4 linked regions of the Struthio camelus genome follow. The protein of the gene in region 4 purifies or fractionates together with the protein of the main gene of each other region. This does not show direct contact. Links are inferred from orthologs where the notes say so. Each region holds a gene or a part of one and is shown on either strand. Other genes may lie near its edges. The genes, in order: DDX5, CREB1, SS18 and SMARCA4.

Region 1 (7,497 bases), on a different chromosome or scaffold from region 4:
AAGATCATTGTATACAACTATGCTATCACCAGAACACAAGTAAAATGGATTTATCTGAACAGACAGAACAAGAAAGCTAAGGAAACCAGTATCTCAACTACCACCAGACACTCGCCCATGCTGTGTGGTTAGGTCACGTATTTGGAAGCCACCAGTTTCCAGGGGATGTTTATTTCCAAAACAGGACATCTAGTCCTGTTCTGGAGGATTTTGAAGTAAAATAAATAAATCTGAGCTTATGGAACAATCTTGGGAGACTACTACTACTGAAACATAAAATCACTGATCTGTGACGAGAAATACAATGTTGCTATGGTATATGAAAGCACTTTGTACTCACATAAGCGTGGACAAAACGGACTGTAACAAATCCGCATTCTTTTAAAATTAAGAACCCCTTTCATTTAGGAATACTCACTATAGGTCCATCTCCTCGCTCTAGGAATGGTTGATGATTTATATGCACAATGGCAGGCAACAAGTACTGTTTGAAAAGGGAGGGGAAAAAAAAGTCTCATTACAGTCTCTTCCCAGAGGTGTTCAGACTGCATTAAGCCAGGCAAAACTGTCACTGCTGAATTTCAGCAGTATTCCAAGTTACAAACAAGAACTTACAGACAGTGTTTTCCCTGATCCAGTCTGCGCTACTCCAACCATATCCAGTCCACTCAAGGCAACGGGCCATCCTTGTGCTTGAATAGCAGTTGGTTCAGTGAAGTTCTGCCTCTGAATCACTTCCATAACATTTGCTTGAAGAGAAAATTAGAACTTATTAACTTAAGTTTTTCCAGGCTTGATTAAGATGAAGTCTATGAGTACCCTATTGTGCACTTACCAGGAAAGTTAGCTTCATAGAAGTTTATAATTGGTTTTGGACAGTTATGGCCCCTAACTGTGACTTCTTTGCTTGATCTGTACTGTTCAACCTCTTGCTGCAAGACAAAAACCCCATAGTTAGAAATAAGCTTTGATACCAAAGTTATCCTATAAGTTACCTCATCCTTGTCCCATGACCCTCAGCATGTTTGTACTTTATTTATTTACTTTCACACAAGTTGGATAGGGTACATACCACAGTACGTCTAACTACATCAGGATGTTCTTGATAGAAGTTCTTTTCAAATTTGGGCAGCTCATCTAAATTCCATTTCTTTTTCGTAAGCTTCTCCCCAGGGTTTCCAAATTTCTTTCCAGACAGAGGTCCACCTCTACTTCCTCCAAAACGGGGGGCTCCAAACCTAGAGAAGAATACACCATAATACAAAACCTGAGAGTAACTCTCTTTCATATACAACTTGATCATTATCCTTACAACCAAACATGCAACTTGACAATTCAGTTTCATAAGTCTCACATACATCATAATAAAACTCCAAAAACATACCAAGCTGCAGATGCCATGATCTGCCTAGTTATAACTCATGCTCAGAAACTAAGGTAACACATTACCTTGCAGTTTCCACAAAATGAAACCGAGACTTATTAACAACCTACAAAACAGCAAGAACATTAAAACACCTGCACAACCCCCACGATCAAAATAGTTTCCCACACGAGCGACACTCCCCTTGTGTGTCAGCCTGCAGAAAGCAAGCAGAGGCAGTTACAAAAGCTCGGCACAACTTCCCCGTAAACGGTTGTTTTGGTATCCCAAAGGGCTGGCTCCTCTCAGTAACGACGTTCTCACGAGGCCACGCGTTTTACGCGTTATCCCCTTTCGTTCAGAAGGGGTTCGTCTCAGAAGCCTACCCTGACGGATCTAAGCGAAGCGAACCCGCGCCCCGAGGACCACCACCCCGGACCCGAGCGGGGCGCTCCCTCCCCCGCCCCGACTGCACCCCACTCCTGGCTGGGCAGGCGCTGGGAGCGATCCTCCCCAACACAACACAGCGCTCCCAGAGGGGACCCGGCTGAGTGGCCGCTGCTTCCTGCCAGCGCTGTTTCCTTTGTCTCTCATTTCTGTCTACGCCACATTTTCCAGCCGCTGCCATTTTAGAGTCTGAGCTGGGCGGGGGGAGGAGGAGGAGGAACAAAGGCAGCAGCAGCAGCCGGCATTTTGATTTCCCCTCAGTCACCGCATGGCGGGGCCGGCCATTAACATCCGCTTACACAACACAAAGCGGGAGCCGGCCGGCTTCTGCCAGCAACAGCCAGAGCCGGCGAAGGGGGGAAGGGAGAGAAGGGACCCGCCCTACCGAGAGCTCCCCCAAGGCTTCTCCGGCATCGACGAAGCGCCCGGCCAACCCACTGACCCACAAACCTCCAGCCAGCCCGCCACTGCTCAGTCCGCCCCCGCGGCCGAGGCGGGGGGTTGGCAGGGGGGTGTGGAAGGACAGGAATCGAGCTCTGCAAGGGCCATCCGTACTCAGGGGGGTGTCCCGAGAGAGGGCTCGATCCCCCTTCCCCCGCCCGCACCCCTAACAAGCGGCCAGGGGCTGCGCGGAGGCGGACGGACTCAGCCCCCGCCCTGGATTACGCGGCCGCCCACACGCGGTGGCTGCCCTTGGCGGCGCCGAAAGGGCCTAAAGGCGTTTCCCCCCTCCCCCCCCCCCCGGCTCTCGTCACGAAACTCCGGAGTTCTGAAGACGGCAAGAGCTGAGAAGAAGGGCTCCAGGGCCCAACCCCCACGCCTCGCCGCCATTTTAGACGGCTTAAAAAAAAAAAAAAGCAGCAGTCAAAACCCCCATAGGCGGTTTAAGAGTCCGGACGCTGGCGGCGGCTGGCGCCAGCCGGGCCCCCGGACTCACCCTCTATCCCTGTCGCTGGAATACCCGGGCATGGCGATGGAAGCGATGGTGGCGAGACGGTTCCGGTCACTAAAGAGGGTGACGAAAGGTACGGCGAGATCCGACGCCGATGGTGGGGGCCACTGAATGTAGAGCGCCCCGCTGCCCGGATGCCGGTTATATAAGGGGTGCCGCGGAGGCTGCTGGGAGCCGGTTGGTGACGCAGGCGCAGAACCCGCCCCTTGTTTTATGTAAGCGGCCCGAGCTGGCCGGAGCCTCCGGCCCCTCCCCTTGTGGGCGTGGCCGCGGCTCGGCCGACTGACCGGCTTCTGCGCGCGCGGGCGGAAGTCCCCCTCCCCTTGTGGGCGTGGCCTCTGTGTCGTCACTGCCCGGCAGCGGCGGCGGCAGCGGGAGTGTCTGCCCCTCCCAGTGCCCACGCAGAGAAGGGCGCGAGCCGCCGCGCTTGCGCAGTAGCGGGGGGCCGCGGCCTAGCGGCGCCCGCCCGACCCGCGGCAGGGGCCCGGAGCTGCTTTGGCCCGACAGGAAGCGCGATCCCCTCCTCCCCCCCCCCCAGATGTTTTACCTATGGACAGCTAGTACATCTGACACCGTAAGACATCAGTAAGTGGCTAAGTAGTGACCTTCCTCTGCACATGCACAGGACTGGACCGAGCCATAAAGGAGTTTTTATCTCTGGGGACTAAAAGCAGTATTTCAGCCACAGGCATTCCCAGGATTTCAAATAGACTGAAGGGGTTGGATGCACGGGTCCTCTCGAAGTTAACCCGCTGGCCACAAATAATTAGAACAGCAGATAGATAAAATACTGCTTAAGCAGTAATTTTAGATTGTTATCCATTGCCTGGGCACTTTCATTAATATTAAAATCCATGTGATTGGAAACAGGTGCTATTTTTATCTTTTCAAATTCCACACCAGGTCTAGTAAAGCAAATTAAAGGTCACGAGGAGTGCACCAGTGCACCAAAGGACACTGCTGTTTGGAAAGCACAGGTGTAATAAATGTCAAACACCTGAAGTTACTAGGGTTGCTTATCTACCCTGCTTTGTTAGCTTGAGGAATAACTTGAATGTCTTGCTACCTGTGGCTTTAAGCACATACAAGATGAGGCTTGACACATAAACATAAGCACTGTATTGCCAGACCATCTCTTTCAGGCAGCGGCCAATAGCAAACAAAAACAACGTAAGGAAAAAACGCTGTAACAACACCCTGCCTTTATAGGCTACTCCCACCTTCTAGCAATTTGTGGTTTAAGACTTTTCGGAAACAAAAATAACGTAACTGTTTTTGACAGTTATGTTTCACATTTTTCCTCTCTTTATGCTCTTATCTTCTAAAGCATTCTGTAACAATCAGTTTCACAATTTAATTATACACTACCTGAGAAGTACTTCCCTTTGTTTTCAACATATTGACTGGTAAGAACAAGGGAGGACTAGCAAAGTGAATTGTCAGAAATGGTAAATAATAATTTCCTATCCACCTTATCTATACCCTTTCGGGACATTAATCTCAGTTACTCCTTTTCCAAGTCAGAGGTGCAATCTAATTATTTCTCCTTTAAAAGCAATTCTGCACTTTGGATAATCCTTGCCACTTTATTGACAAGAAACCCACATAGAATTCAAAATCTGGGCCCCCATATAGATTTACATAATGAAAGCATGATGGTGTTTTTGTTTTGTCTTGTATTATTTCCTAATGATTGTTTTTCATTTTTTGATTGCTGCTAAGATTGGAGCAAGGTTTTAAAGGAACAGTAGTAGATGATTCCATGACTGACCCTCAAAAGCAACACCTAAGCTAGGCCTATCTTTTTTTTTTTAGGTATAGCTACAGCTGTTTCTTCCTCATACATGTTACTTTTTACGTAAATCCACACAATTTCACCTAAAGAAACATAGCCCTCAGAACCTCTCATAGTCTCCATGCCAGCTGCACACATTTAGACTGCAAGTAACTTCAGTTTCCTCTTTGGGGGGAAAAAAACTTCCTCATTTTTCTTTCATCCTTTTACGTTAAACATGTTGTTTATTTTCCTCTGTTCCCGTCTTTCTTTGAGCCAATACATGCAACGTAAAAGAGGCTTGCAGAGCTGTGTATGTATGAAACTGAAATCCATGTTTCAGTATTAATAGTATTGACATCCGTTTTTATATACCCAAAAGCTCTTTTGTTTTTATCAGATTAACTGGTATAAACGTGCGTTAAGATTATGTATCTACCAATTATCTGTCCTTGGACCGTTAAAGCCATCATTACCCCTGGTGTTTACTTGCCTACCCTTGTTCTTACAGTCATCACTGAGATCTCAGCTGCTTCTACGTACTCCAGGAGTTTAAGGCACCATTATTTCTAGTTTTGCAAGACCTGGGGCAACATGGAAACTCCAGAATCCCTAAGCAGCGCTGTACACATGTGCTTTGTAAGGAAGAAAATACATTTTCACCATCAAAGGCCTCTAGAATCTTGTAAACTAGCAGCTAATTGTACAGTACATTTCACAGGACGAAACCTTCTAAGTCATAATTCTAATAAAGGTTCTGGCACTCCTAACATCCAGGAAAGTCATCAAATTACCTGCCATCTCCCAAGCAGACCTACACCACCTGCTAATTTAAACCAAACTCCCCAACTGTACAAACTGTACACTAACCCTTCTAACGTAACCACCACCTCCACCTTTTAGCAAACAACCCCGAGGCCGGCCCTGCAAGGTCAAGAGCTAGAATTTTCCCCTGCTCCACCCCGCCTGCCATAGCCGGCCCTCCTTCCTCATTCTGTGAAAATCGGGGGGGGGGGGGAAGAAATCACCTCACTTCAGGGTGATTAAGGGCGGAACCGCTTCAACAAACCCTCCCCAACCGCCCGCGGAACCGAGCCCGAGTTAAAAGCAGTTTTTTTTTATTACACCGCCATTTTACGCCGCCAGCCTGCCTCGCCGACCGAGGCGCTCCCCCGACGCGGCCCGGCGTCCTTCACCCGCCGCCCGCGACGACGCTGAGGGAAGGAAGCGGCGGCGGCTCCTCGCGCCGGAGCAGCGCCCCCTCCCCCTTCGCGCCGCGGGCTCCACGCATGCGCGAACGCGCGGGCCGCAGACACCCCCACCCCCGCCAGCGCCTCGCCACCAACAGCCCCGCGCGCCAGGAAGGAAGCGGCACGGGGCGGGGGGAAGGGGGGGAAGCAAGGTCCGGGCCACGTGATCCTCGATGCGGCGTCGCTTTGAGGCCCAGGCGCCTCACCCCCTCCCCGTCTCCACGGCAACCAGCGGCTAGGCAACCCGCAACGGCAACGCCAACGGAGGCGGGCCCGGGGCGGACCATTCCCAGCTGCAGCCAATCGCGACGGCCTTCAGCGGGAGACCCCGCCTCTTCCTGCACAGACGGCCCAATCAACGCGCGGGACACAGAGAGGGGCTATTTAAATTACCCGGGGCGGGGCAGTGGCCCTGGTCCGTTAGGGTGCGTGAGGTGCTGTCACCGGGCGCTCGCGCGACCGCGCCATGGGCAGCTCTGAGGAGACAGGTAGGGGGGCCAGAGAAGGGAGCTCCTGAGGAGATCGCCCTTCTCTGACCCGTGGGGCGCCTCTCCCCGGTCCCTGCCCTCGCCCTGCCCTGCCCTGCCCTGCCCTACCCTACCCGCCGCTGGGCTAGGTCGTGGCGCGTCCCCACCAGCCCGAGGGGCCTCCCTAGTGGTGGGGCGGGCGAGGGTGCCGGAGAGGTGGCCGACCTTCGTGCTCTACAGGTGGGAGCTGGGTGAGAAGTAGCCTTTTCACCTCCCTTTGGTCTCTTTTCTGCTGCTCGCTAATCGCCTCCACTTTATTCATGCTTATTTTCCCTTACGATTTCCCTTTTTGTTTTGTGACTTTTTATGCTTTTTATTGTCCCTTCCCTCCTTTTTCTTTAGTGATTCTTTTAAGCTGGAAATAAAGGGTAACCTTAAGTTTTCTAGAACCTGTCAGCCTGAACTGTAGAAGATATTACTTTAATGTTTTGTGCACCTGAAAACAAAGTGTGAGGGTAAGGTGTCTCTTGGAACAGAGTGAAGGGGTGATAGATGGAAATGTAATTCCTCTGTGTACACAAGGAAAACAGCGGGACACGGTAGTATCTGTAGTAGTAACGCTGTACTTCTTTTTTCTTGCACAGATGTCTTATCCCATTTCTAGCAATTTAAAGTCCTTGATAATACTTGTTAAAAATTATATTTTCTTTGCTAAATGAATATGTAGGGGAAGATCAAATCTCAAAAAATCATAGACTAACAGACATATGAAAACTTTTTTTTTCCCTCAAGTTATTATTTGCAGTGTGTGGCAAGGAAAACTGTAGAGGAAACATGTACTCTAAACCACTCTGAATTCATTACTTTTAAAGAGAAAATTTTGGAAAAGATAGTCTACATATGCACATGCTTCTCATTGCACTCAACATATCATGAGACTTTGGGGGGGCAGTTTCATATGCTTGTAATACCTGAACAGCAAAATAATAAAAGCAGTCCTAGGATTTAGTTTTAATGATGAATATTTACATGAGCAGTGTTTCCATTGCCAAGGATATTCAGGAAATTGGGTTTGTAAGAGATCAGCTCATGTTCTTCCAAAAAGTGTATGTTGTTTCTAGTTCTTGATGAAGCGATGCTAAAGACTTTTTTTCCCTCCATCTAGATTGTCAGGTTATGCTTTTAACTTAAAAACCTATAACTTAAATTTATGATGTCCTCAAAGATGCCCTGACTAGCAGAAG
Region 2 (7,302 bases), on a different chromosome or scaffold from region 4:
GTTAAGTTTCCAGGAAGCAGATAGACTGATGACTTGACAGTCTAAATTAGTTGTTTCTGAATTTTTTGGATCAACAGACCTTTCTCTCCTTTCAGACCTTTCCTCTCCCCTGGGGTAGTAGGCACCCTTACACTTTCCTTTCCAAAAAATATGGGAAAACAATGGGTATTTAATACAGATCAGATGCAGACCACTTATTCCAGACTTGGATACAAAAGCTGAGAGTACTAATCTGAACGCCAAATATTACTGGTCGTTCCACCAATGAAATTTAAAAAAACGTGAAGAATTATTATACTCTACTTTCCTACATCCAAACAGTATTTCTTTTTAGGTCACCCATAAGCTATGCTTGACAAATACACCATTACCTTCCTGCTCTCTTTTCTCTCCTGTCAGTGAGGATACAAAGTTTACAGGGAAACGCAGGGAAAGAGTTAGAATATGTTGATGTGAGAGTCCTGCGCTCTATCATGAAATAGAATGGTTTGGGGATAAACAAAATGTTATGTTTCTAAAGCTACAAAATAACGACATGCAAAGGTTTACTGTCACATTTTTGTATTTAAAATGAAGTGAATAGTCCATCAAACCAAAAATGAATGAATTACACCAAACACTATGTTCTGTTTAATCACTATCAATGGCTACATTGCTCACTGAAGTCCACAGATGTCTATTAATCAATTGCAACTTTAGAAACCCTCTTCTCACGTTGGTATTTTTCAGAGTGAAGCGATGTAGAACACCTTGGCTTTCTTTTCAACAGAAGTGGTGGAAACGACAGAGAACAAATTCCACATGCGAGAAAGGACAGGCCTATCTAGACACTTACACAAATCGCACATGCCCATCTTGAATAAAAGAAGGCATTTCCGGAACTTCACCTTTTAGAGTAAAAACCTACGTTTGATGACACAGGGAAAGGGAGAAGCAGAACTTCAGGAGCTCTAGTATTTCAAAATATAATGCTTGGTGGTTACACTGGAATTGAAAAGAGATATTCAGTATTTTCAAATAAGTTTCTAGCCTTTTATTTAAGAGTTAGGAAACTAGTTCTTGAGGGGAGGGGAAAAAAAAAACCCAAAAAAGTGTTTTTGGAAGAAAAAGCCACATGACCCATATTTTTTTTAATCCTTGCATATACTTTTGACAGGCATAAAAAATTTTAGTTAAAAATACGTTTTTAAGAGAGATTGCCAGAGCATTTTCACTTATTACTGTGCACAAAGATGCAGAAATCCAGGCTTTGCAAGAGTAAATAAGGTCAAAACAGTATCTTCTATGCTAGACAATAAAGGGGCGGGGAGGGAAAGCCCCCCAGCGCAGCAGTCAAAGGCAAGGTAGGACTGGTGGAACGTGGCAAGGACAGTTTAGCTGACATTTGCTATTAAAGCACTGATAGAGGTCAAAGCCTGCTCATTTGTGCAGCGCTGAGGAGTCTGTGCAAAACTGGCAAGAGCAAACCCCAAACTGAGATTAACCGGTCACCGCCAGGCTCAAGTTCACTTTCAGTTAAAAATACTAACAGGAAAGAAACACGCTGCAAAAAGGAACCGTATCTTGGTTATGCGATCTGAGCGTCAGCCTTAAAGATCTTCCCTCCTATATTTTAACGGCAGGCGGTGTTGGGTGACCGAGTAAGTTCGCCGGTTTTACAGCCCTCCGCATACGATCATGCCCCCGACACTTCCAATGAAAGTAAACCACCAAGTCAGATGCCGGCCCAAACTTCAGTGCACGGTTTTTATTAAAAACTTCTTGTTACAGAGCCTAAGAGAGCACGTTACAGCGCCTAGGAGCACCCCGCGTGTTTTGTTGTCGGTGGTGGTGGTGGCGGTGGGAGGGGTGTTTTCTTTTTTGTTTTTGATTTGTTTTTAATCGCAGGAGTTTGTTTATTGACACAGCACGCTCAGGTCGCCGGGTAGTGAAACTCTGGGGAAAAAGAAGGGGCAGCGGGGGCGGGTGGGCGGCCGAGGCGGCCCCGGCCAGGGCTGGCGGCCGGCAGCGAGCCGCCGAGGAGGCCGCGCTCGCCCTGCGCCGGCCACAGCCAGGCGAAAACAAGAATTAAAATAAAATTAAAAAAAAAAAAAGAATAAAGAAGACGACCCGTGAGGAGTTGTGTGGAGGCGGTGTGGTGGTGGTTGGGGGGGGGGGGACAGGGGCCGCCACCCCGCCGCGGAGGGGGGAGAGGGTGGGTGTGCAGCCGCCGCCGCCGGCGGCACCGCCGCGGCCGTCTCCTCCTCCTCTCTCCCCCCTCGTCGTCTTCCTCCTCCTCCTCCTCCTCCTCGGGGCCGGGGGGCGCGATCCCCCTCTCCCCGCCGCGCTGAGCGCCGCCGCTGGCTGCCGCCAGAGTCGCCGCCGCCGCCGCCTGGCCGTGGCGGCCGCCGCCGCCGCCGGGGCCGGCTCCCATCCGCCATTATCCTTTGTTCGCGGCGCGGCGGCGGCGGGGATGTTGCAGGGCTCGGCTCCATCTTTAAAGCGGGCGCCCCTCCCGCTGGCGCTGCAAGGCCGGGCCCCCGCGTCCTGCCGCCCGGCGGCTCCCCCTGGTCCCCGCCGGGCTCCATTTCCTTCCCTCCCCCCCGCCCCTGTTTGCTGGGCGCCTTCCTCCTCTTACCGGTTACCAGGCTGCTCCGTCACTGCTTTCGTTCGCGCCTAGGATCTCGCCGCAGTTTTATTCTCTCCCCCACGTAACACACCGCGTCAAACTACACCTCCGCCGCGTCACTCACACACACACAGGCGCTCCCAGCCCGGCGACAGGCAGGCAGCGGCCGACTGAGGAGCGCCAGCCAGGGAGCAAGCGCCGAGAGCGCCGCGGCCCCGCACGGAAACCGCCGAGCGCTCACGGAAACCGCCGAGCGCGCGGCGGGCGGCGGGAACGGCCGAGCGCGCCGCCGGCCCCCGCGGAAAGAGCCGAGCGGCCGCGGAAACGAACGAAGCGCCCCGCCGGGGAGGCGGAAAGAGCCGAGCGGCCGCGGAAGGCGCGAACGCCGCTTCCGCCCGCGGCAGCCCGCGCGGGAAGCGCCGAGCGGGGCCGCGGCGGGGAGGGGGGGTGAGGGCTCCCGCCGCTCCCCTCCGTCCTCCGCGGGCGCGGTGGAAGGGGCGAGGCCCCCCCAGCACACCCCGACCGCCGCCCCGCGCGTCGGGAGAGGGGCGCTCGTCGCCTCCCCGGCAGCCCAGCTGCTGCTCTGTGGCGCTGTCCCAAACCTCCCAAAACTCAGCCCCAGCGGGCCCCCCCGTCCCCGGTTCTCACCTTCCGGAAGGCTTCCAGCCGCCCCTCATGGTCTCCACAAGCACGAGGTGGCAGACATCGTCTCCACAAGCACGACATGGCGGACGTGGTGTCCGCCAGCATGACCTGGCAGACGTGGTCTCCACAGGCACGACATGGCGGACGCGTTCTCCGCACAACATGGCGGACGTGGTGTCCGCCAGCACGACCTGGCAGACGTGGTCTCCACAGGCACGACATGGCGGACGCGTTCTCCGCACAACATGGCGGACGTGGTGTCCGCCAGCACGACCTGGCAGACGTGGTCTCCACAGGCACGACATGGCGGACGCGTTCTCCGCACAACATGGTGGACGTGGTGTCCGCCAGCACGACCTGGCAGACGTGGTCTCCACAAGCACGACATGGCGGACGCGTTCTCCGCACAACATGGCGGACGTGGTGTCCGCCAGCATGACCTGGCAGACGTGGTCTCCACAAGCACGACATGGCGGACACGTTCTCCGCACAACATGGCAGACGTGGTGTCCGCCAGCATGACCTGGCAGACGTGGTCTCCACAAGCACGACATGGCGGACGTGCTCTCCGCACAACATGGCGGACGTGATGTCCGCAGGCACGACCTGGCACACGTAGTCTCCACAAGCGCGACATGGCAGACATGCTCTGCACACGACATGGCAGACGTGGTGTCTGCCGGAACAACCTGGTGCACACAGTCTCCACAAGCACGACATGGTGGATGTGCTCTGCACACAACATCGCGGACGTGGTGCCATCCTGAGGCCTCCTTGCTGCCCTGGCGTTGCATGGGCTCCTCTCACCCCTCCTCAACGCTCCATGGCCTCCGCCTGGCCTCCACCCAGCCCGGCCTCCCCATGCCCTCTCAACGTGGCAAAATGCCCATATGTGTCCCTCAGGCTGCTCCTCCAAGCCTGGCTCTTCCAGCTTGTCCTTGCGGCTGCCTTGCAGCTCGCTCTGGCGCCGTGGCCAGCCGGGGCGGCCCCACGAGCAGGTGGTGCCGCCGCAGCTCACAGGCGCGGGGCAACACTCCCACCACCATAACACCAACACTGCCATGAAGTCCCCGAGCTCCATGTAACCAACCCTCCCTGGCCGCCATCCACATAACCAACCTTCCCCAACTGCCACGAGAAGGACGAACGCTGTCTGCCCAGCCAGGCGACAGAGCCGCAAATCGTGATCTTCAGAGCAGCCCCTTCCCAGGCGAGGGTCCACTCCTGCCGGTGCCACGTCTGCGCTTCATCGCCCTTCCTAGAGAGATAGATTTCACCAGGACGGGGACCCCCAAGTGATGGGGTGTGGGGACGGGGAGAGGCACCCGGCCTGGCTCTGACTTCGTGGGGCCCAGCCTGGCACCCTCCACGCTCTAGTGCCCTCCACACTCTAGTGGCCTGCACGCTCTGGTGGCCTCCACGCACTGGTGACCTCCGTGCTCTGGTGGCCTCCACGGTCTCTCCGGGACGCAGCAGGGAAACCATCCAGCTGCTCTCGCTGGGCTTTTCCTCTGATGGTCCCGCATGGGGCATGGGGCATGGGGTGGGGGGACACCTCGGGGCAGGGCACGTGCTATCTGGCACCGCTTTGGTTGGTCCCGTTTGGTTGCGGCCAGAGGGAGAGCAGCTCCCTGTGCCCGTGCAGTGGGGACATCTCCGGCGGGCAGACGGGCAGATCTGGAGCTCGTAGGACCAATTAAAAACTACGTGTAGTTTTGAAGAAAGTCCATTTTGTTCCAGGAAACCTCGAGATGGCACTGCATGACAAGATTTGAAGCTCCAGATGCCGTTCATTTCAACCACCGGGTCGTTGGCGCGTTCCTCCAGGGCTGCCTGCCGTTATCGCAAGACGCCGCTGCACGGCAATAACCCGCCCAGGTGGGCCCTGCAGAGCCCGCCACTTACACCACATCAAAAGACAGTGTTGCCCACGTGAATCTAGTCTTGTTCTTGCTGAGTCTTGTTTTCCTCAAGAGGGTTGAACTAGTTTTATTGAGAGGGAGTTTCATCCAACTCCGTCAAAAAATCGAAAGAGATGATGCAGACAGCGACTACGGGCTTGCTCTGCTTTTGGCTTTGTTGATTTCAGTTGTTTGAAAACAAACTGAAATAAACCGTGTCTGACATTTTTAAAACAAGCAGCTCAAGTTGGACTGATAAAAAACTGTTTTGTTGAAAACACATAATATGGCTGGGCCACACCTCATTTTGCACTTTTATTGCATTTTTTTCTGTCTGAGCTGTCTGCAAACAGGAGCTCCAAGTTTGCAGCATAGCACAGTAGAGCGTGACCTTTTCTCTCCCTCATTATTTTGGACTTGTGTTGCTCCTTTGATTAATAGCTGATCCTGTCAGCAGCGTACGGCTAAAATCACTCCTAAAACTACTGTACGTCAAGGAGTGGTTCTGAGATCAGAGCGTAAAGGCTCAGCTGCCCTTGTGCTCCTCTTATGGGGAGTAAAGTACTTTATATAAGAAAATATTTAGAATGCGCAGAACAAATTTAGCTGTCTGAGTGTCTCTTGCTTGATTCATGCGTTAATTTATCCTTTTTTCCCCGTTCCCTCTCCTTCTTTCCAATTCTCTGTTAATGTTTCTGTGTTGCATCAGTTTTGTTGGCTCCCCAAATGACCCAAACTGTGTACGTTCTCCACGCAGGCACATTTCCCAGAAGTATGTGACTCGCCTTCTTGCGGGAAGCCTGAAGAATCACAGCGATAAGCGCTCGGAGAGAGTAAACTCCAGTCCTTGAAAGGCAGCTAAAGTGCACTAACCCAGTCTCAGTGAACAGCTCTCCTCAGCAGCCTGAGCCCGAGCTCGGTCTGAGCCAAGAGAGCGCAGCTGATGGGGCTGCGATACGCTGGGCTCCCGGAGACCGGCAAGGGCTGCTGCTATGTTGTCAAGCAGTTCTCTGCGCCGTTTTGATCCTGCTCTTCATTTCAGGCATTGCTAATAATCTGGCATCCTGCTGGTCCTTCCCAGCCCTGCTCTCACCCATCGCTTCTGGGCTGACTCCTTCTCAGTCGTTCTCTTAAAGTCTTTCAGCTCGCTGACGAGCTTTACAGGTATCTTGCAGGGGTGTCTACTTCCCCACCACCCAGCCTGGGCTCCCCTTTTGGCAGACAACTCAAGAGTGCAATTTATCTCAAACCGAAACAGATGTCTCAAATAGGTAAGGTGCCCGAGGTGATCTGAGATTATTCCCAACTGTTGTTTCTATGGTGCCTCCATCTCGTGTCCCATGGCGGAAGCACAGATGATACGTGGAGTGGGGCTGGATTCAGCCCTGACACGGGCAGGTTCAGCGGCACAACTGCGTGAACTGCTGTGAAATCTTCTGGCAGCTGTTTTGCACATTCCCCTTCCCCTTGCAGGTTTTCTGATTTTTCTGCCTCTCAGCAGATCTGGGCAAAACTGGGACACCATTGAGACTGGTAGTGAGAGTTTGAGTTGAAAAAAAAACCCTGCTCTTACTATCATCTACCCGTCCCTTTCACGGTTTTCTCTTGGAGAATTTGTATACAATGGGATGGTAATGATGTGCCAACTACCCACAATGTCCTATCGGGAGAGATTGACTGGGGGCGGAGGGGGATTAGGATGCTCAGCAGTTTTCCTCTTCCTCAGCAAAAGTTTGCTTGATGATGAGTGAAACCCAGCAAGATTAATTATTTTTCTTGCAATTAAGCCTTAGGGGCAAATTCATTAGCTTTGCAGCTTTCAGGCTGGTTTTCCTGGGCAGTGGGCTCCTTGCATACAGCATTGCAGGTTGATTGCCCACGGCCCAAGGTTTGCAGGGGCTAATGGGTGACAATGGGTGACGGCAGATCAGGAAGGGGTGTCGCTGGCTGCAAGGTGTGGTGGCTCTGCAATGCATAAGTTGCATTTGGGAGCAGTTGTTCACCTCTCTCTGCTGACACTGGTAGCGCACAAGATAGTATTTATTGTGGAAACGCAGAGATACATGCCAATTAGGTGGTTAGTGGAGTATGCATTTTGGTGCAACAAGTCTTGCGCTGCACTTTCCACCCCACACAAACGGAACAACG
Region 3 (8,010 bases), on a different chromosome or scaffold from region 4:
CAGCTGTTGCACTTACTCCCATTAGTGCAGACTGCTGAACATAGTGTGAGTTTCTTTATTCTCAATATTTATATTTGCAAACTAACATGGCAGATACTAGAATAAAAATTTAGCTTCACAATGATTTTTCCTGTTTTTGTTACTGCCCCTCTGGAACTTAGTAGAGCAACCAATATCTTTGTACTATTCATGCTGGTGGGGTAGTTCATATCAGTTTATATCAGAACATATAAGCTTGTATTTCAGGTTCTGTACAATATTAATATTCTTATTAATATTCTGTGCAAAGGCTAATGCAAAATATAAATGGCAAAATTGAAAGACGCAGACAAGAAGCTGACAGACTAAATTCCAGACAAATTTACCCTATTAGTGTGATCCCTTTTAGGAAGCAAAAACACCATGAGAGACCATTTACTTTAACAACAAGCTGATATTGTTGTATAATTTGATAACAACTTACTGATTAATTAAAGAGACTGAATCTGAACAATCTTCTAAGCTCAACCATTTAAATTGGCAGATTTTCAGATGCTAGCTCCATTTTGCATCAGGAAGAATTAACATGTATTCTGGGCATGTAGGAAATCCCCCCAAAGTCACAAGATCACACCAAGTCCAGTTAGTGAAGCCCATAGAAATACTGAGCCAAAAATTGTATTTCTTCCTTTTGGTAACTTTCCTTTTTATCTACCCAAGGAAGCTACTCCTTGAGATTTGCTGTAACTGCTCCCTGATTTCTAATCTAAAAATGTTAGGAAACACACAGGCATAAACCCAAAACTCTTTTCTTTTTTTTTTTTTTTTTTTAATCACAAGATGAAAAAAAAGTCAGCCCTAAAAAAAGGCTCAAATTTGCCCTGCCATCCTACTAGCACTAGACTCTGAGCTATCATATTTACTTTTAATAAAGTGATTCTTGTCAGTTTGAGGTGAATGCACAAAATGAGGTGCTGTCTCCGAGAAAGTTCTAACTCTCAGGAATCATTCTCAACACGATACTGCAATCTTTAGTCAAGCAGGTGTAAGCAGCATTACCAAAAACGTCTTTGCTCTCCTGTCTTGTACTGTCAGCTTAGTAAATACCAACTTTAAAATGTGAATTTAAGTTTTGAATTAAAATTTGAAAATGATGATGGATCAGCATTCTGTATTTTCCTGCTTGTGAAAGGGAATGTTTTCTGATCCCTTTTTATCCGTCTCTTCTATTCCAGGGAATTTATGGAAAATCGGATAATAAAAACGGCAGAAAATATAGGCAGAAACTGAAGCTACCTTATTTTTTTCTCAGAACCGTTGGAAGACCGCATCACTGCAAATCTTACAGCTTTCCCCAAAACTAAATCAAATGAAGCCCAGTGCAGTGAGGAATTTTGACACACTCCTGAGGAGGCTAAAATCACTCAACTGTTATGCGCTTCATTTCAAATAGATAGCTTTCTCTAGGAGCCATATGTTAATGCTTTCTGGACCCTAATCTCAGAGCCTATATTGTTACCCAGGTACTTGTGTTTGAGAAAGATGAGCTGGAAACACAGGGAAAAAAATGTTTCAGAAAAGGGCACATCCTTCTCTGTCTGCATTCTTCTCCCTTCAAAAAGTATGAAATACTGAAATACACATGAAAAAAAAAAAGGATGCTACACTGATAAAACTTGGAGCAGAGATGGAAAAGAGCTGGATGAAACATATTTTGTATTTGAAACTCTTTGTGATGATCTAGATTTATGTATCAAAATTACAATTAAATAATGTTAAGGTTGTGAGTAACTCAAGAGTAAAGAAATGTGCAATTAAAAAGAAAATATACCATATGTCCTTCGATATCTAGGCATATTGCAGTGCATTAAGAAAGTCATAAAAGAGACACCCTGTTGTGGTTATGTGTTCCGAGACATGTGGCACGTTTCCATTGTAGCTATCTATTTCCCTGCCTGTATGCATCTGTGCCATTATTTAAATGTTGATTTTCAATGTGATTTTCTCTTTCCCCGTTAAAAAATGGAGCTGCAGTCTCTTTTTTGAACTTTTCTTTAGATCATGAACATGGAAACCCCAAATTTTAAACATATGAATGTAAAATCATCACAAAGAAAGGGGAATAACTGGATTTAATTTACAACTACCAGATAAAACCAGGCAAAAGAGACAGTTTTAATTATTTTAAATGAATGATCTTTTCTTATGTCTGTATCTTCCTTTGGTAACAGCTGAATTCCAAACATTGTTCTGCATTTGGAATGGAAAACAGGAATGCACTTAAAAGTATCTAGTATTTAATTTAGGCCATCTCTGGGAATTAGGATGGGCAATTACTCCTTTCATTTTAAGGTTCCACCATCCCCGTGCAATCCCACAAACCTTTTTTTTTTTCTTCTACTGATCATCAGCCTGAAAGTGTGGGAGAGCACGATGCATTATTCTGAGCTTAAAAGCAATTGCTATGTGGCTGACACCTAACCCACATTGTGTCAAATACTGTCGTCACCAAGATACCCCAATGCAAAACATTTCAGAAACAGCAGCTGTCTAACTAGAGGATGGCAGCAAGGTTAGTTATACTTGTCGGAAGAGAACAGCATTTTGAAGAATTCTCAGTGTTCAGAATACTTCATGAGAATGTATTTGTCCTCTGATTGCTGAAGGTGCCTGCCGCCTTAGAATACTTTCCGACACATCCCTATTTCTCAAAAGCCAAGTATCTACTTCTGCTAAGGAAATAAGTCCTGTTTCTTCTATTGCAACTGGCTAGAAGGTAGTACCTTCTCATTCTATTCTGGCCACAGTGATCTTGTACTCTTTATTCTTAGGACTGTCATTTGTAGTATCTAGAAATAATATTGATTTGAGCACAGAGCTATTGCCACATCTCTGTGGTATGAGTGCACTCCAAGAATATTCAACAAAAACCATGAATGACCATGAAGCCCATCAACTTCAGAAAAAAGGGTTTCTTCAACCATTTCTTTTTGCCTTTGTTTTCCTACAAGTATGATAATACTGCTGCTACAGATAATAATGAAATGTGTGGGAAGGTGAGAGAAAAAAAACTGCTTGTACAAATAAAGTAAAGCGGACCTAGATACCATGGTGATGAGTGAAACGTGTAGAAACACAAACAACCTAATGGATATGCCGGCACTAGTCCTCCTCCTTAAAATGACCTATAGTGAAATGACTGGGCCAGAATCACTTTCTGGAGAGGACAGCAAGCCAGATTAGCATCGCATCAACTCAAGGTCCTATATAACCTGAAGAGACAGGGCAGAAGAAGCACCATTCTGGGAACAGAGAGAATCAGGCCCAGGCGACAGTCCCTTGGAGAGGGGGATGCTTTGGGAATGCAAGAACAGTTTGGAGACAGAAGCCTGGGAACTGGTTGTCAAGGGGGAAAAAAATAGGGGATGATGGGCAGTCACAGTCAATCCTAGGATAACAGAGCCAGGAAGAGCAATCTCCATGGGGCTGGGGAAACAAGCCAGCCTAGAAACAGTCGGAGGAGAGAGCATGCCAGTTGGGAAGCAGCTGCACAGCCACAGGGTGGCCGAGGATGCCACTTACAAATATATGTTGTAACCAAAAAGGCTAGGGCTGGAGGGAAGAGCCAGGGACTTGAGCCAGCAACAGCTGAGAGAGGGAAAGAGAGAAGCGCGCAGAATAAGGGAGAATATTCACATTTTGTTGTGTGGCGTCATGCAACAGAGCAGTGTCCCATCAGCCACAGGAGCAGGCATTTCTGTCAAGGACCAGAGCGCAAATCAGATACTGAAGGTCACTGCCCAATACGTCAGGAAGGAGATGCAGCATTCATGGCCTACAGCACAGCACTAAACAGCATCCAGGCAGGCCAGGGACGTGCCTGGGAAAAAGCAGATTTATGAAGTTTTAGTTTGGGATTTTCTACTTTTCTTTGCCATTACCTTTGAAACTCTTACTATTGTAAAGAACAGCCTTAGACTTTGCAAACTTGTGTATCAGAATATGTGGTGAAGCCCCAGAGATCCCTCCAAAGGCAGCACTGAAAAAAATCAAGGCTGCTTTCAGCAATTTTAGCGTCTATAATTTATTAAAAGTCGTAGCAGCACTTGTTTCTCCTTGTTCGGCTTCGTTTCCATGACAGAGAAGCTGTGGCCGGGGAGGTCAGTAGGGAAACTTAATCACACACAAGCTGGCTGGGCTGGCGGGGGGGGGGAGGGGGGAGTATACAGCCCCAGGGTCTGCTCTTAAACTTTTTTTTTTTTTTAAACCTGCCAGTTCTGGCAATGACTTGACAGCAAAAAACACCACCAGAAGCCTGGAAACGTCAGCGCGAACACTACTGGGCAAACGGCACGTGCCACCGCCAACGGCAAAAACGTCCCAGCGGCACCTCCCCTGCCTCGCATGCCCAGGCCTGCGGCTGCGGCTCCGGCTCCCCACGCGAGAGGCTCTGGCGGTGCCACACCGAAGTCGCCGCGGCCTCGCCCGGGACTTGAACGAGCGCAGGACCCGCCGCTGCCGCCGCTGCCGCCTCACAGCGCTCCCCCGCGCCGCCTTCCCCCGCCGCCTCACACGGCCGCCAGAGCGCACCGCCTGGGCGCAACCAGCGCGGCCGCGGGTGGCGGGGGGAGGAGAGCGCGTTCCTCGGCACAGCCGGAGTGCGTCCCCTGTAACGTGAGCGCTAAAGCGCTCCCCTTCCCCCTCCTCTTCCCCGCCCCCCCCCCCTCGCCGGCCGTACCACTTCGCTGCCTGTCCGGCGCGGAGCCGCGTTGAGCAGGAACGTACCAACGCCAGGAAGGGAAAGGGGTAGCCAAAAAGGCCTCGTGACTGACGGAGGCCACATTTAAACGGAGCGGCGCCGATTCTTGCTCCTTTTGCTTTTCTGAAACCCAGGGAGGCGGCCACCGCCTTATCGACTCTCCCTCTCCGTGCCGGAGAGGGAGGAAGAATACCCTTCCCCCTTTCACCTTTCCCCGGCGGGGTAGAGATGGGCTGGCCCGATGGGCAGCCGCCCCCTCGCCCCGCCCCCCCGGCGCAGCGCGTTCTTCCCGGATCGCTGCCGCCTCCCGCTGCTGTTGGTTGCGCGGGGCGCGTGAGCGGGCGGGCGGCGGGGGCGGCCCCTCCTTGCAGCGGCCCGACATGTCGGTGGCGTTCGCGGCCCCGAGGCAGCGGGGGAAGGGCGAGATCACGCCGGCCGCCATCCAGAAGGTGAGGGCGCGAGAGAGGAGGGGCTCGGCCCGGCCTGGCCCGGCCCCGGGGGCTGCGGCTGCTTCCTGGCGTCGGGACGTGCGCGGAGGGGGGTGGAGGCGAGGCCCCGGGGCGCCCAAAGCCCCTCGGCGGGGCGGCGGCGGCCGGGCCGCGCTGGCGGCGGCCGGGCTGTGGCGCGGCGGGGTCCGACCCCGCGCAGCGGTCGGTGGGCGCGGGGCCGCCCCGCTGCGCTCTGCCACTTGTTCTGGGGGGCGCGGGGCGGCGCCGCCGCTGCCGCCGCCCACGGGTGTTCGCCGTGGGGTGGGCGCGGCGCGGGGAGGCCGCGCGCGCGCGGGGCGGCGGTTGCCCCGGCCCCCCTGCGCGCCCCCGCGCGCCCCCGGGGGGACACGGCACCCGGCGGCCGTGTGGCAAGCGCGAGTCAGCCCTTCAGTACGCTTCGCCCGCGGCACCTGGGGCGAACGAAGAAGTCGGCGAAGCCGTTCCTGTGAGAGGTGCTTGCAAGTGACGCCGCGGTCCTGCTGCTGCTGCTGCTAAGCCCTGTGTAAATGTGATCTCTCTCTCCGTGGGGTGAGCAGAGACTCCCAGATTTGGCTTACCTTTTAATTCCCCTACCCCTGCCCCAAACAAAACCCTCTAAAGTGCTGTTATGGGGGAAGGCTGTGGCTAGAGCTGATGGCAGGGACTTGGGATGCGTCCGTCTAGGCTCCTGTGGGAGGAAGCAAGCTAACTTGCCAAAAGCAACGAGAGAAAGCGTGTTTAGGACTTGTAATAATTAACGATATGTCGCATTGGCAGAGGCAAAAGAGCACACTGAAGTTCAGTGCTGACTCTGTAACATTTGGAAACCTAACTTTAGACCCTCTCTGTCCTCAGTTTAAATCGTGATCTGAAATCTGTTTTAATTTATGGCCGTCAGCTCCTCCTGTAGGAGGAGATGCCTTCCATTTAGATAAATCAGGTGCTGACTTTATTAGAGGACAAGGATGTCAGCAAGGTGTCAAAGTTGTAGGGATCAGGACCTCAAAGAAGACCTCAGAGTTATGATGCAGACCTCTGCAGTAGTGGAGCAGAAGTAGTCTGTGCTTGAGAAGCATAGCCAAAAAGTACACGCCCACTGAGCTGCCTACCAGTAGGTAGTAGAGACTTCAGTTCACTGGGATGCATATAAAGAATGTAGGCACTTAAGGTTTTTTTTTCTTGTGCTGTAGGCCTACCGTTGATTTGATGCTGCCATGCTTGCAAAATCCTAGTATAGGTATAGCTAACAAGTTTTTGTAGTGTTCCTAAGCTGTTGGAAGCCTTGGAGGTGTCTTCATCTGGCTGGAAACTTAAGATTCTTTCTTGGTGATAGGTGCTTATAATTCTTTCAGAGAACTATTTCAATTCTTTATCGGTAACTGCTTGATGAAAACGTTATAAAACAGTGCCTGCAGCCTAGTCTAGGCTATAGTTGTATTCCATTTTATTTACTTTCTTCCTGGCCCTAGCATTTTTTTTCCCCCTCTCCAAAGAGATCTGGCTTACCTGAGAGGGGGAGGGGAAAGGGAATGGAATCATCTAACTGGAAGTCTGATGATCTACTCCCTTTAAGTATATGCTGTCTTCCACTGGAAGATGGAAGTGTTCTGATGAGAGCCTTCATCCAAGGCTCCCTTTACAAATGCGCTGTCTGTTGTATATGAGAAACAGACTTGTATTTGTCTATATATATATATATAGACATACATACATATATTTTATTTATTTACATATTTGCTCCTTTTTCCTCATTTTTTTCTGGTGAAAGTAGCTACTGTATTTCTTACAGAACTTGATGTTAGTACACGTGAAGTGTGTCTGTATATGGGTGTATATGGGTCGGCAAGCCCCTTTAGAGCATGGAAGTACATCTCTTCCTAGTTTCTGGAGTTCAGACGGATGTTCGAAACATTGCAGTTCTGTATGTGTCTGTTGCTTAAGGACAGTGTTTCCAGGTCTAGCAATTTTAGGCAAGGACGATTGCTTACTGACTGTTCTTGTCAATTCTGGCAAGTTACTGGTTTAAGTTTAGGAAGACTTGGTTTATTGGCTTATTAGTTCTTACATGGATACAAGTCTTGAGTGGACTGTATGAGGTCTCTGAATCTGTACCTTTTTCATATTAAAGATAGGTTATTTGGAAGAAAAAATAAATATTTTAATAGGTTTTTTGTTTGTTTTTATGTTAGATTCTTACAGAGTTGAGGATGCTGTAATTATGGTGTCTGTGCTTCCCTTTCAGAGTCATAAGCCTGCTTTCTAATTTCAGCCGTGTTTGGAAGGGAGATAATTAAGACCCTACCGGTTTTGTGAAATTCAGGAGCTGCAAAAGAGATCTTAAACTAGCCCTCCACTGAGGGCAAAATGCAGGAAAAAGTTAGTGTGAAGTTTTCCATTTGGCTGTAAATTTTTTTGTTTAGTTCAATTAACCTGGATAATTTGGCTGGTAGCTCAGACTAGCCATAGTTCTGCTGTGTCTTGTCTGACCAGAGTGCAAGGGAGTGATTAAGAGGATGTGTGTGTAGGGATGTGCAGCTCTGAGACCAGAGTATATTATTTTTCCTGCTTATGGAACTCAGCAACATCTTGAATTAATGAGTTTTCAGTTTTCAACTGAAAACTGAGAGGGAGGAAGGGGGAGATGGTAGCAAAATAGGTTCTATAAATAATTGGTTGAAATAAAGCTTTTTAGAACACTTGCTTAAAAAGAAGTAGGAGCAAGAATCAAACTCGTCATCAGTTTCTTTCCCTAAAAAGCATGAAACTTATTCTAAACTTTTTTGTCGTTTCAGATGTTGGATGAAA
Region 4 (7,186 bases):
CCCCCCACCGCGCCTCTGTCGCCGAGACGCGGTGGGGGAACAGTCGTTACAGACCAGCGCTACAGCCCGGGAGAAAGACACCGGCTCATAACAAAAGACGTCGCCGCCAAAGGCCGCGCAGCCGGCAGCGGGGACACGAACCCCCCCCCCACCGCCGCCGCCACGCACAACACAGCGGAGGAGAGAGGGGAGTCGAGCCCCTCCGCTTGGGGGGACACGAGCGCGCGTCCCCCGCCTTTTCGACGGGGCCGCAACCGCATTAAGACACTCCGGGCTTCAACGTGCTTTGAGTGCCTCCGGCGGGGTGGCTGAGGGTGGGGGGAGGAGGCTCCTGCAGGGGCTTTTGGGCAGCAAGGAGGGGGCGGCTGCACCCGAGCGCCGCGAAAAACCCTCCGTAGCACCCTGGGGCGGCTCTCTTTCGCCGCGGCTCACGCCAGGACGGGCTTTGTGCCGGGGGCGGCCAGCAGGGAAGGCTCGATCCCCCTCTGGCCGGCGCAGGAGACCAACCTTCGCGTACGGACAGGGCGCGCTGCCACAAAGACGGGAGGCCGGGGCAGCTTCTTGCGAAGCCAGGGCAGACAGATTTCATCCCCTGGCTTTGTCCTAGGCAGCGCGAATACACAGATTCGGCCACCAGCTCGGGCGCCAGAGGATGCAGCCCGGATGCCGTCAGCCCGAGGGATGCAATAACCCCTCTGCATCGCAGCCCCCCCAGGAAGGGGGCAAAAGGCAGATTAATTTTTAGGGGTGGAGAGCAGGGAGGGGGCAGCAGGCGACCTGAGGACAGGATGAGAGCGACGGCAGAGGGCCACTGCTCGCGGACGGGGTGGGGGGGGACGCTGCTATCAGTATTTCAGGAAGGAGGTGCAGAACGAGGAGCAGATCCCTTGGAGACCAGGGAAGCTGGTGCTGAAACCCAGACGGCGCCACAAAAACGCAGCTACGGGAGGAAGAAGCCACAACGGAAGAGACAGAAGCCGGGAAGGGGCAGTAGGGTATAAAGAGTGAGGGGTGCTGGCCCGGCGTGAGAAGCTGGAGGGCAGGAGAAGGGCAGTAAGGTGGGACGAGGGGGATCTCACAGGGTGGAGAAACGGCGTCCTCCAGAAGGACAAACAGCAGAGCGACGGGGAGAGGAGGAGCAATAAAGGGGAGACGCTCCGGGGAGGGGGGACAGGGACGCTCAGGGACGCAGGACGGGGGCCCTGCCGACGGGAGGGGAAATGCCCCGGGGAAGACGGGTGCTCCAGAGGACGGGCAGCACCCCACAAAGCGGGGGAGAAGGGATGCCAAAGGGGGGCGTAAAGGAGGGGGCGACACGGATCCCCCCCCGGGAGACAGCGCTGGGGGACAGCGAATGCTCGGCAGGTTGCGGGGAAACGGATGGGGCGGAGGGGGTGCAACCGACCCTGCTGAAGGGAGATGCTGACGGGGGGCTGAGGGGGGGGCACTGCGGCGTCCCTGACCCCCATCACCCAACCTGCCAGCAGCACAGGCTGCCGCTGAGCGAGGGGCAGGGGGGAGGCGGGGTGGGGAGCTGGGGGGCAGAGCCCCCCCCACGCTGGGGGTGGGGGGGAAGAGGGCTGCAAGAGCTGGGGGGGGGGGGCCTGCAGGAAGGAGGCTGAGAAGGGGAGAGCGGAGGGAGGGCTGCAAGAGGGGGGAGCCCGAAGGGGAACTGGGGGGGGGGATGCCTGGAAGGAGGGGCACTGGGGGGGCTGAAAGGAGGGGGGCGCTGGGGGAAAGGCTACAGTGGAAGGATGCTGAAGCAGGCTGCAGAGGGGGAGGATGGGGGGGCTGGGGGCCTGGGGGGGTGCTGAAAGAAGGGGATGCGGGGGGGTGATGAAAGGAGGGGAGGCAGAGGGGTGCTGAAGGGAGGGGACAATGAAAGGGGGGATGCGGGGGGGACAATCAAAGCGGGGGATGCAGGGGGGATGCAGGGGGACAATGAAAAGGGGGGGACGCGGGCAGGTAATGAAAAGGGGGGGACGCGGGCAGGTAATGAAAAGGGGGGGACGCGGGGGGGTAATGAAAAGGGGGGGACGCGGGGGGGGTAATGAAAAGGGGGGGACGCGGGGGGGGTAATGAAAAGGGGGGGGTCAGTAAGGGGTAGGAGATGCCAGGGAGGGGGGTCGATGGAAGGGGTGGGGGGTGCTGGGGAGGGGGGTCGATGGAAGGGGTCGGGGTTGCTGGGGAGGGGGGTCGATGGAAGGGGTCGGGGTGCCGGGGGGGGGTCGATGGAAGGGGTCGGGGGTGCGGGGGGGGGTCGATGGAAGGGGTCGGGGGTGCCGGGGGGGGGGGTTGATGGAAGGGGTCGGGGGTGCGGGGGGGGGGTTGATGGAAGGGGTCGGGGGTGCGGGGGGGGGGTTGATGGAAGGGGTCGGGGGTGCGGGGGGGGGGAGTTGATGGAAGGGGGGGGTCGATGAAAGGAAGGGATGCAGGTAGGACGATGAAGGTTGGGGGAGGGGGGGAGATGAACCGGGGGGGGGGGAGAGGGGGAGCAGCGATGCCAGGTGGAAAGGGCGCCGGGAATGCAAAGGCCCCACGGAAGGAGGGATGATGATGATGATGATGATGTTTGGGAGGGGGGGGGAACCGGTGAGCGCTCGTTGAGGCGGGTTGGGGGGGGGGGAAGGGAGAGACCGCTCCCACACCGCCTCCCCCCCCCCCCGCCCCCAGCCCCGAACAATGGGCGGGAGCGCGACGCCGAGCTCGCGTGACCCTCCGGGGCCGCCGTAGCGCGCCCCCCCCACCTCCCACAGCGTCTTCCCTCCCCCCCCCCCCAACCCCGCCGGTCCCTTTCAGTGAGGGACCGGCCCGGGCGCCGTGACAGGCCCCCGCCGGCCCTTACCGCGCTGGTCGCCGCCGGCAGGGTCCATACCCGGCGGGGCGGCCGAGCCCGCGGCGCGGCGCGGCGGGAACAAAGGAGCCGCCACCGCCGCCGCTGCCGCCGCCGTGTGTGAGGGAGCGCGAGCCGCGCGCGCGCGCCTCCCCCGCCGCCCGCGCGCGCCCCCACCCCGCCCCCCCAGGCAGGCAGGCAGGCAGCGCGCATGCGCGCCGGCTCGGCTTCTCTCCCTCCCCTTCCCCGCCTCCGTGCGCACCGCCCCCTGCGCACTTCACCCGCCCCCTCCGCCAGCGCAGCCAATGAGGGCAGCGGAGAGCCGGCGTGCGCCCGCCCCCCTCCCCGCGACAGCCAATGGCAGCGCGGAGAACCCGCTCCTCAGCAGCGCGCCTCCTATTGGTGAGAAGGGGCGGCAGGCACGCTCTTCGGCCAATGAGGCGGGGACCAGCCGGCTGGGAGGAGGGGGGGAAGGCCCGCCCACTACCGCTCGGCGAGGCAGCCAATGGGAGAGACCCCACAGGCCCCCCCCCTCCCCGCTTTCCTATCTCGCGCGCCCGCCCGCCCGCCCGCGCGCGCGCGCGCGCGCTGCAGCCAATCGGCGCTGCGCAACCTGCCCCGGCGCTGGCTCCATCCCCGCCGCAGCCAATGGGGTGGCGGGAGGAGAGGCGGGGGGCGGGGCGAGCGAGGCGCGTGCCGCGTGCCGCCCGCTCGGCGCTGACGGCGGCTCCCCCCCTCCCTCCGCGCATGCGCACTGGCCGCGCCACTGCGGCGAAGGGGAGGGGTCGGGGGGAGGGAGAGAGGGGGTCCACGAGGGGGGAGGTCGGGGGGGTCCATGAAGGAAGGGGTCCACGAGGGGAGGGGTCCATGAAGGAAGGGGTCCAGGAGGGGGCAAGGCCCGGGGAAGAGCGTCCACAAGGGAAGGGGTCCATGAGGGAAGAGGTCCATGAGGGGAGGGGGTCCATGAGGGGAGGGGGTCCATGAAGGAAGGGGTCCATGAGAGGGGAGGGGTCTCTGAGGGAGGGGGTCCACGAGGGGAGGGGGTTCATGAAGAAAGGGGTCCATGAGGGGAGGGGGTCCATGAGGGGAGGGGTCCACAAGGGGAGGGGTCCATGAAGGAAGGGGTCCATGAGAGGGGAGGGGTCTCTGAGGGAGGGGGTCCACGAGGGGAGGGGGTTCATGAAGAAAGGGGTCCATGAGGGGAGGGGGTCCATGAGGGGAGGGGTCCACAAGGGGAGGGGTCCATGAAGGAAGGGGTCCATGAGAGGGGAGGGGTCTCTGAGGGAGGGGGTCCACGAGGGGAGGGGGTTCATGAAGAAAGGGGTCCATGAGGGGAGGGGGTCCATGAGGGGAGGGGTCCACAAGGGGAGGGGTCCATGAAGGAAGGGGTCCATGAGAGGGGAGGGGTCTCTGAGGGAGGGGGTCCACAAGGGGAGGGGTCCATGAAGGAAAGGGGTCCATGAGGGGAGGGGGTCCATGAAGAAAGGGGTCCATGAGAGGGGAGGGGTCTCTGAGAGAGGGGGTCCAGGAGGGGAGGGGGTCGGGGAGGGGTCCATGAAGGAAGGGGTCCAGGAGGGGGCAAGGCCCGGGGAAGAGCGTCCACAAGGGAAGGGGTCCATGAGGGAAGAGGTCCATGAGGGGAGGGGGTCCATGAGAGGGGAGGGGTCTCTGAGGGAGGGGGTCCATGAAGAAAGGGGTCCACGAGGGGAGGGGTCCATGAGGGAAGAGGTCCATGAGGGGAGGGGGTCCATGAGGGGAGGGGTCCATGAGAGGGGAGGGGTCTCTGAGGGAGGGGGTCCATGAAGAAAGGGGTCCACGAGGGGAGGGGGTCCATGAGGGGAGGGGTCCACGAGGGGAGGGGGTCCACGAGGGGAGGGGTCCACGAGGGGAGGGGGTCCATGAGGGGAGGGGTCCATGAGGGGAGGGGTCCATGAGAGGGGAGGGGTCTCTGAGGGAGGGGGTCCATGAAGAAAGGGGTCCACGAGGGGAGGGGGTCCATGAGGGGAGGGGTCCACGAGGGGAGGGGTCCATGAAGGAAAGGGGTCTTTGAGGGAGGGGGTCCATGAGAGAAGGGGTCCATGAGGAAAGAGGTCCAGGAGGGGGCAAGGCCTGGGGAAGAGGGTCAACGAGGGGAGAGGGTCCATGAGGGAAGAGGGTCCACGAAGGAAGGCCATGAGGGAGGGGGTCCATGAAGAAAAGGGTCTCTGAGGGAGGGGGTCCATGAGGTAAGGGGTCTACGAGGGGGCAAGGCCTGGGGAAGAGGTCCACGAGGGGAGGGGGTCCATGAAGGGAAGGGGGTCCATGAAGGGAAGGGGTCTACGGGGGGGCAAGGCCTGGGGAAGAGGGTCCACGAGGGAAGGGGATCCATGAAAGAAGGGGTCCACGAGGGGAGGGGACTGTGAGGAGAAGGGATCCACGAGGGGAGGGGGTCCACGAGGGGGCAAGGCCCAGGGAAAGGGGTTCCAAGAAGGAAGGGGGTTCGTGAGGGGGCACAGGCCGGGGGTCTGTGAGGGGAAGGGGCTGGGAGCAGGGGACATGGGGGGAGAGATGGGTTTGGAGCAGGGGAGACGCGGGGAGAAGGTGGGGTGGGAGAGCGGGGAGAAGGTGGGGTTGGAGCGGGGGAGACGTGGGGAGAAGGTGGGGTTGGAGAGCGGGGGAGACGTGGGGAGAAGGTGGGTTGGAGAGCGGGAGACGTGGGGAGAAGGTGGGTTGGAGAGCGGGAGACGCGGGGAGAAGGTGGGGTGGAGAGCGGGGGAGACGTGGGGAGAAGGTGGCGTTGGAGAGCGGGAGACACAGGGAGAAGGTGGGTTGGAGAGCGGGGGAGACGTGGGGAGAAGGTGGCGTTGGAGAGCGGGAGACGCAAGGAGAAGGGTTGGAGAGCGGGGGAGACACGGGGAGAAGGTGGCGTTGGAGAGCGGGAGACGCGGGGAGAAGGTGGCGTTGGAGAGCGGGAGATGCGGGGAGAAGGTGGCGTTGGAGAGCGGGAGACACGGGGAGAAGGGTTGGAGAGCAGGAGACATGGGGAGAAGGTGGGTTGGAGAGCGGGAGACGCGGGGAGAAGGGTTGGAGAGCGGGAGACACGGGGAGAAGGTGGCGTTGGACAGTGGGAGACGCGGGGAGAAGGTGGGTTGGAGAGCGGGAGATGCGGGGAGAAGGTGGGTTGGAGAGCGGGAGACGCGGGGAGAAGGGTTGGAGAGCGGGAGACACGGGGAGAAGGTGGCGTTGGACAGTGGGAGACGTGGGGAGCAGGACGTGCTGCAGGATGAGGTCTCCTGCGGGTTGAGGTCTCCTGCGGGTTGAGGTGGAACAGCAGGAGCCCTGCTGTCGGGCCCGGATCTGGCCTGGCTTGGCCGTGCCCACAGCCCAAAGACAACGGTGGTGGCCGCTGCTAAGTAAAGCTCTGCCTTCTCTTCCAGGCTCTCCAAGCGCTCGCTAAACGTACGCTAATTAAGTAGAGCCGCCGCAAAGGACACGCGGGACCACCGCAGGCGGCCTTGGGGGGGGGAACACCACCTGCTTCGGCAGCACGGAAAAACGCCGGAGAGAAAGGACAGAAACTGCGACCTGGCGATGAAACCGAGCGGACGAGGGAGGTACAACGGGCCAGGACAGGGCCCTTCCCAAAAAGGGGGCTCGTGTTTTGGAGCTAGCTCCGAACTTCCACGTTTTACCTGCACAAATCGCCACGGAACGCCCCCTCCGGGCCGCAAACTCCCGAGCGAGCCAAACGCCTTGCGATCCCTTCGCTTCGCCCCCCAAAATTAGCTTTCGCTGCAGCAAGGGCGACCGCTGATTTCTGCTGTCTCGCAGCAAAAATCGCTCTCCTTCCTTCACCGAGAGGGCTGAAGCCCTTGCTCGAGATGTTAAAAAAAAACAAAACGGGGGGGGGGGAGGTCTCAAATCCTACTCTTAATTAAAAGGAGCATAAACGAAGCGGAGCCGCTGACGGCGACGTGGGAGATGTGCGTTTTTCCCTGCCCTCCTGAAGCCACAGAGCTGCCGTCGGCGCAGGACCGATGCGGCGCCGCCGCCAGCCCGACCCCTTCAGCGCCCGTCGGTTTTCTTCCTTTTCCTCCTCCTCCCCGGCCCTGGCGGCCGGCCGACCGCTACGGGATCGGGGGCGACAGCCCGGCTCCCTGAGGAGGGAGGGATTTCGAAGCGAAACCCCGCCAAGCGGACGATCGCCCCGCGGGGAAACAAGCTCGCGGCTAAGAACGGCGCCGCGCAGAAGCGGGGAGACTCAAAACCCACTGCGCTTGCACGACGGGAAAAAGCTGCCAACGCTCGGTATTTTCCGTGAGGATTTCCCAGCCGGTTTTGCCGTCGTTCCGGCGAGGGAAAGCGTAAAACAAA

What was found.
Region 1: the proteins of SMARCA4 (region 4) and DDX5 purify together in Homo sapiens (affinity purification with western blotting; 3 studies listed by BioGRID and IntAct, with this or other methods). This does not show direct contact. The link is inferred for Struthio camelus from reciprocal best matches to the Homo sapiens genes SMARCA4 and DDX5.
Region 2: the proteins of SMARCA4 (region 4) and CREB1 purify together in Homo sapiens (affinity purification with western blotting; 3 studies listed by BioGRID, with this or other methods). This does not show direct contact. The link is inferred for Struthio camelus from reciprocal best matches to the Homo sapiens genes SMARCA4 and CREB1.
Region 3: the proteins of SMARCA4 (region 4) and SS18 purify together in Homo sapiens (affinity purification with mass spectrometry; 8 studies listed by BioGRID and IntAct, counting the BioPlex papers as one, with this or other methods). This does not show direct contact. The link is inferred for Struthio camelus from reciprocal best matches to the Homo sapiens genes SMARCA4 and SS18.

The regions. Positions count from the first base shown.
Region 1 is NC_090960.1:4,671,514-4,679,010, reverse strand, and holds the start of DDX5 (probable ATP-dependent RNA helicase DDX5), read right to left. Parts: upstream 3,014-7,497; 5' UTR 2,780-3,013; coding exon 2,748-2,779; intron 1,239-2,747; coding exon 1,073-1,238; intron 933-1,072; coding exon 836-932; intron 750-835; coding exon 616-749; intron 485-615; coding exon 419-484; intron 1-418. Other genes in the region: CEP95 (centrosomal protein of 95 kDa), read left to right, coding at 6,253-6,274. UniProt on the Homo sapiens protein: Involved in the alternative regulation of pre-mRNA splicing; its RNA helicase activity is necessary for increasing tau exon 10 inclusion and occurs in a RBM4-dependent manner. Binds to the tau pre-mRNA in the stem-loop region downstream of exon 10.
Region 2 is NC_090947.1:9,435,778-9,443,079, reverse strand, and holds the start of CREB1 (cyclic AMP-responsive element-binding protein 1), read right to left. Parts: upstream 3,006-7,302; 5' UTR 2,618-3,005; intron 1-2,617.
Region 3 is NC_090943.1:122,327,186-122,335,195, reverse strand, and holds the start of SS18 (protein SSXT), read left to right. Parts: upstream 1-5,118; coding exon 5,119-5,187; intron 5,188-5,557; exon of another isoform or gene 5,558-5,754; intron 5,755-7,997; coding exon 7,998-8,010. Other genes in the region: PSMA8 (proteasome subunit alpha-type 8), read right to left, coding at 4,765-5,120. UniProt on the Homo sapiens protein: Appears to function synergistically with RBM14 as a transcriptional coactivator. Isoform 1 and isoform 2 function in nuclear receptor coactivation. Isoform 1 and isoform 2 function in general transcriptional coactivation.
Region 4 is NC_090972.1:4,652,416-4,659,601, forward strand, and holds the start of SMARCA4 (transcription activator BRG1), read right to left. Parts: upstream 3,014-7,186; 5' UTR 2,846-3,013; intron 1-2,845. UniProt on the Homo sapiens protein: ATPase involved in transcriptional activation and repression of select genes by chromatin remodeling (alteration of DNA-nucleosome topology).